Linked DNA regions of Schizosaccharomyces pombe. The protein of the gene in region 1 binds, or shares a complex with, the protein of each later gene. Each region holds a gene or a part of one and is shown in the gene's direction. Other genes may lie near its edges.

Evidence for each region. Proteins that work in one complex are often made in the same cells at the same time.
Region 2: rpl1801 (region 1) and rpp101 share a complex: the UniProt entries of both Schizosaccharomyces pombe proteins name them as parts of the large ribosomal subunit.

Annotation. Positions count from the first base shown.
Region 1 is NC_003423.3:3,359,919-3,363,332, forward strand, and holds rpl1801 (60S ribosomal protein L18), read left to right. Parts: upstream 1-1,879; 5' UTR 1,880-1,898; coding exon 1,899-1,901; exon of another isoform or gene 1,902-1,953; coding exon 1,954-2,514; 3' UTR 2,515-2,714; downstream 2,715-3,414. Other genes in the region: pre-mRNA-splicing factor srp1, read left to right, coding at 2,966-3,051, 3,098-3,154, 3,204-3,414. UniProt on the Schizosaccharomyces pombe protein: Component of the ribosome, a large ribonucleoprotein complex responsible for the synthesis of proteins in the cell.
Region 2 is NC_003424.3:2,698,432-2,701,713, forward strand, and holds rpp101 (ribosomal protein P1), read left to right. Parts: upstream 1-2,000; 5' UTR 2,001-2,021; coding exon 2,022-2,090; intron 2,091-2,226; coding exon 2,227-2,487; 3' UTR 2,488-2,782; downstream 2,783-3,282. Other genes in the region: rad51 (RecA family recombinase Rad51/Rhp51), read right to left, coding at 576-1,673; rna15 (RNA-binding protein), read left to right, coding at 3,198-3,222, 3,263-3,282. UniProt on the Schizosaccharomyces pombe protein: Component of the ribosome, a large ribonucleoprotein complex responsible for the synthesis of proteins in the cell.

The DNA of each region.
Region 1 (3,414 bases):
ATGAGGAGAGATAAAAGTCAAATTTTCTTCAAAGTTGTAAACACTAACGAATTTGATTTAAATTGGTATGTTGTGGTGGGTATATATGTATTAATAGAATTTACATACTTTGCGTATACAGTATGACGTCCTCAGTTGACATCATAATAGTTTAAGCACTGTACTGAAGATACTCATCATCTATAGTAGATTCCAGCAAGTTAGCGTAGAAATCCGTTTACTAAGTGGCATTACGATTCTTTATCGCTGTTTAAGGTGATACAATATTTTATTATGGTGAACAGAAAATGAATTACTTTTTCCTTTTTAAATATAGTGTTATGAATGATTTAATATTTAATGACCAAAAAATGATAGCCTATTACTACTTGCATGTTAAAGTGTTTCAAAAAGGACAGCTTTAACCATATTCGCTAAAGAAAACTAAAGAGGTTTATTATAAGCACAAACTATAGTGAACAGAAAGTATTTACGGCATTTGTGATAATATTTGCTAAATGGCCGCGTGTTTACTACCCGCAGTCAGGAATGGCAGAAAACATAAAAAGTTGAAAACTTGCTTTTATACTGAATTAAATAAAAAAACAAACTAAAAAGTTCGGGTTTCGACGGGGATTGAACCCGTGACCACTTCGACCCAAACGAAGTATGCTACCACTACACCACGAAACCACGTTACAACTCATAATACAAATAGATAATATTAATGGTTTTCTCCTTCCAAAGTAATTAAGTAAATATCATTGATTTTAAAAAAGAGCTAAATACCTAAAGAAATTAGCAATCAGAGTATGGAGAATTATCTACTTGCAACTACTAAGCTGACTGAATCTATGCCAAAAGAAGAACATGAAATTGCTTCAAATCAAATTGATAGAGGACATAACAATTACTTAATTTCGTAGAGTTAAAATAGTTAATGTGAGCTAAACATGCAAGTAACTTAAATAATCAAATATTATCATTGATTAATAATTACGTTCAATTTAGAAAGTGTTTGTGCATCGAAGCAAATATATTTGTTTTAGCAACATTCTGATCCCTTTAAATAGAAAATGTTATCTAAACGATCAAAAAAATATCCTAATCTCGTAATTGATAGAAATCTCTGCAAAGATTTCCTATTAAATCGAGATATGTTCCTTATTGCCTAAAATAAATTAAAATCAATCCTGTAGATGACTCGTGGTCTTAAAATGATACTTTTAGAAAAAAAAAAATAGGTAAATAAGTAACCTAACCAATTTTACGAGTTATCAGATACATAGATTTGAATAATCAATTATAAAAATATATTGATTAATTTACTTATGTGCTTAATATTTGAAATATGCTAGTATTTGCAACGTCTTCGTGTTCGCACTTTATATTTATTTTTGTTATCTTTTAAGCGCCCAATAGTAAAAGAAATTGTATTCCGATCAATTTTTGCAATTTTCGTGCAGCTTAAAAAAAAAATACTTCTTTGTCTACTCAAAAAGCATGAAAAGGTTTACAATAAATGAATACTGAAGGGTTCCATAAAGTATAATATTTTCAATGAAATATGGTTATATAATTCAATTATTATTTGCAGTAAAATTCAAATGCATCTTTTTCATATATCTAGTTTTATAAAACAATTAATTTTTAGAGAGTTAATGAACGTGTTCGATAAATGCAAAAGTAACACCTACCCTATTCCAAAATCTCACTATTATAAATAAATAATCTAGCAAATACTTATTTATATTGAATCATTTATACACCTCCGTTTATGGGTTTGCTACACAAATAAGGCGTACCTAGTGACTCTCGATAAACCTCCCTAAAACCTACCCTAGCTCAAAAAGGCAGTCACAAATTTACTACCAATTTTAGCAGTGATTATTGAAACGAACAAGCAGCGTTATATCAAAATGGTATGTATAATATGAATACCTGTTTGTTCTATTAAGCTAATGAGTGATTTAGGGAATTGATATCGAGAGACATCACGTTAAAAAGTCTCAACGCAGCAAGCCTGCTTCGGAGAACGTCTACTTAAAGCTTTTGGTTAAGCTTTACCGTTTTTTGGCCCGTCGTACAGATTCCCGCTTCAACAAGGCTATTTTGAAGCGTCTTTTTCAATCCAAGACTAACCGTCCTCCTATTTCTATCTCAAAGATCGCTGCTTTAACTAGCCGTAAGAGTGCTTCTTCTCAGAACAAAACCACCGTCGTTGTCGGAACCGTTACCGACGATGAGCGTATGTTGACTGTTCCTAAGCTTTCTATTGCCGCTCTTCGTTTTACTAAATCTGCTCGCGCTCGTATTTTGAAAGCTGGTGGTGAAGTTTTAACCCTCGATCAGCTTGCTCTACGTGCTCCCACTGGAAGCAACACTGTTCTTGTTCGTGGTAAGAAGCATGCTCGTGAGGCTTACCGTCACTTTGGCTTTGGTCCCCACAAGCATAAGGCTCCTTATGTTCGTTCTGAGGGCCGTAAGTTCGAGAGAGCTCGTGGTCGCAGAAAGTCTCGTGCATTCAAGGTTTAAATTACCTTGTTCAAGCTCGTTTCCTTTTCTCACACTTTATGGGATCAGCTCTTAGTTGCTTCTCATTTGGTTAGCGTTCATAAATTAGGTTACCGGTGCATTATTGATCCGGCTTTAGTGTACATCAATAGTGTTCGTTCCCAGATATGAATACAATGAAAATCTAATAGCTTAGTTGGTTAACATTATTCTCTTTCTAATTTTTTAATCGTAAACGTATATGTACTTGTAAGACGATGCTTTTATTGATTTAATATTGGTGTTAGCAGTTACTTTTTGTATTTCGCGCTGCAGGTCATTATTAATTTTTTTGTCGTCGGATTTCAATTTAGTGAGCACGAGTGATTTTTACTAAATTCGTTAGCCACACCGTGCTATTCGCTATTGGATTTCCATTCCTCCTTCCACTTACACCGAATTTTGGAGCAAAAAACGTCTTCTTAAGAAAAAAATGAGTCGCAGAAGCCTTCGTACCCTTTATGTGACAGGATTTCGAGATGGAATGCGTGCTCGTGAGCTTGCTTATGAATTTGAGCCGTAAGTTGTTTTTCATGCACTTTAAATAGCTAATTTATTCATTTAGTTTTGGGCCTTTAATACGTTGCGACATCCCAATCCCTAGAACTCGAACTTCAAGACCGTAAGTAAATGGCTTTCTAAGTAAAGATTTTAACCGTCTTATTGGATAGTTTTGCATTCGTTGAGTACGAAGATTCCCGTGATGCTGAAGATGCGTATTATGAAGTGCACGGACGTCGTCTCGAAAGAGGTGGCGGTGTTCTTCGTGTAGAATGGGCCAAGCAACCACCTCCGTCAGGCCCTGGCTCCAAACGTGGTGGAAGACGCGAACGAGGAGGTCGTGTTCACGGAGATTCTGGACGGCTACGTTCAAGGTCACCT
Region 2 (3,282 bases), on another chromosome or scaffold:
ATGCAAATATTCAAAATAATAGTAAAAATTTCAAGAATTTAGCATTTTGCGTGCGTTTTAATGCAAGTGGATCCTTAGGCTTCTTTAGTATAAAAAAGAAAGAAAAAGAAAGAAATTCTTCTTACTTTAATACCATAGCAAACTTTTTATATTTAATTTTTTATTTGAATTTGTAACAAGACAAGCATTTTTGGGTAGTAGAGATAAATATAATCATATAGGTCTTTAAATGTAAAAAAGAACGAAAACTTCTATGAAAAACTTTTAGCGAATATTAATTTAAGTGAAACATTTTGTTCACCAATGTAACCCAATCACCCAAACATAATTAATGGCAATTACAAAAACCTGATAGTTTAATGCGAATAAACGTAATGAAGATTTAGCAGAGAGTTAATAAGTGTGATCAAATGGTTTTTGCTCTTTTTTAAGAGCATACTTGAAAGAAAAATATGAGATACAGAGTAAATCGTAAGGAAATTATCAAAAAAGCATCACATACATATCTATCCTTACAAACTCATCCCATAGAATTTGCAAAATAATAAATAAAAATGAAACGATACTAAAATAATTTAGACAGGTGCGATAATTTCCTTGGGATCACCAACACCATCAGAATTAATGGCAAATATGGCTTCGCTCTCAGGCAAACACGGACTATCGTAAATTTTACAAATGCGTTGCTCACCACGACCTTTCCGCAAAGAAAGTCGAGTGGTACTCGAATGGGCAAGAATATTACCACCAATTGGTTTTTTGGGATCAGGATTAAAGGAAATGCCATCCACTTGGGCGACCACCTGATTAGTAATGACAACAGCAATACCGAATTCATCTGCCAAGCGCTGTAGCGTCCGCATAAACCTTGCTAAATGCATTTGACGAGCAGAGAGCTCTCCACGACCAGAGAAATCTGTTCTATACAAGGCAGTACAACTATCGACAACTAACAATGAAAATCGGGATTCAGACATCATGTTTGCCGCTTGTTGGAGCAACTCTAGTTGATGGTCTGCATTGTAAGCACGAGCATATGCAACGTTATCCAAAACTTCCTCACCATTTAAGCCATATCGATCTGCAACAGCCAACAAACGAACAGGACGGAAAGTTCCTTCTGTATCGATATATAAGCATTTACCTTCACCACCACCCATATCGATAGGAAGCTGACAGGTTACCGCAAGTGTATGGCAGATTTGACTTTTACCGGTACGGAATTCACCAAATAATTCTGTAATGCTTCCAGTCTCAACGCCTCCTTGTAACAAAGTGTCTAGTTGTTTTGATCCAGTTGTAATCGTAATTAATTCACTTCTTCGAATATGGTACTCAGTGGCGGTGGTAAATCCCATAGGAACTAGTTTGCTTGCCTCGCCAAGTAACTTATCAGCCTTTGCTTCAGAAATTCCTTTAATCAAAAGTAGTTGTCGCTTAGGAGTATAAGCAATTGATTCCACCGTGTAGTATCCGGCTTCATGAATTTTTTTTATGTCGCTAGCAGTAATCCCATTGCCTTCCAACATTTGTAAGGGCATAGGACCGGCGGCGGCCTCATCTTCTTCATCTTGTACATTCACGTCGTATTCATAATTTGATTGTGCTTGTCCATTTTCATTATTATTCATATCTGCTGCACTAACTTGCATTTCCACCTCTGTATCTGCCATTATAACTTGTTAAGCACGAAATTATCACTATTCTGGAATTGAAAAGAGTTTTTTATATTATTAAAGAAAAGAAAGATTAGGTTTTTAAAAAATAAATCAAGGAAATAGTTTTGTTAGAGAAAGAATTGGTTTATGGCAAGAATTTTCTTGCTTAGTAGGGATTGTGAAGGAATTAAAACGCGTCCGACGCGTTTTCAATCAATTGTTACCTAGTACTAGCAAGGTAACACCTACTAAATAGACACACACATTAGGGTAGGGCTGTAAAAATAGTCACGAGATAGGGAACGAAACAAAACACAGTTTTTTAACACTTGCATTTACAACAAGAGAACAGCACTGGTCAAAATGTCTGCATCTGAACTTGCTACCAGTTATTCAGCTCTCATTTTGGCTGACGAGGGTATTGAAATCACCGTACGTTATATTTTACTAGAAAAGTTGTGAATGTACTTCTACCGATACTGGTAAAAGATCTTTTCCATAGCGTGTAGTCGTCTTATTCCTTCTTATTCGGTTTTTGTTAAATTAATTTATACTAATTGTTGCGTAGTCTGACAAGCTCTTGTCTTTAACCAAGGCTGCCAACGTCGATGTTGAACCCATTTGGGCTACCATTTTCGCTAAGGCTCTTGAGGGCAAGGACCTTAAGGAACTTTTATTAAACATTGGCTCTGGTGCTGGTGCTGCTCCTGTTGCTGGCGGTGCTGCTGCTCCCGCTGCCGCTGATGGCGAAGCTCCTGCTGAAGAGAAGGAGGAAGCCAAGGAAGAGGAGGAATCTGATGAAGATATGGGATTCGGTTTGTTTGACTAATTTCCCTAATCTGCTAGCATGAACTAGTTGATCCAACTCAAAAAATAACCATTTTTCTATATCTCACTTAATATCTTCTTGTGTTTTGAAATTAAAAATTTAGACCGAGTAATCTTTATGAAACCGCCTTTGATCTGCGCCAACTATTTGTATGGCCAATGTTGGTGATTTTCAGACATATGTGAAGTAATATTATCAGGTGTAAATTGATTCACAGTACGAACTGCATATTTTGATATTAAATTTTTCAAGTTAATCGGTAGGAGTGTTTTAGTACTAATATTTAATAATAAGCATTATAGCGCTATTTTGAAATTTTAATACATCTCGGCCTCGGAGTGTAGGAGTTTGTGGCCCTTTGTAATTAGGACCGTAGTTGGAAAATGAAGTGTAAGGTTTTTGGCTGATCTTTATACATTAAGCAGGTTTTTACAAGTTAGCGTTTGCAAAATGTAAGTATGAAAGGAGATATTATCATTTATTGTTCACAAATTTCTTGCTGAATGAATGAGTTCTTAGTTATTAGGCACTGTGTATGCGATGCTTTTATTAATTCTGGCTGAAGTATAAAATTATTTAGCTATCTCTTTAAAGTTGATATTACTTTTGGGATTGATTCCGAAAAATATTCGACACATCATTTGCCCATTTTTACTAACACCGTCCCAAGGAAGACGCGAGGGCTTCAGCTATCCTCTACCACATACAACATGAATCCATCATGTGTGGTTTATGGTAAGTTAAATTTTTGTTTAAAAGTAATTCTAATAAGTAGTGGGCAATATTCCTTATGAA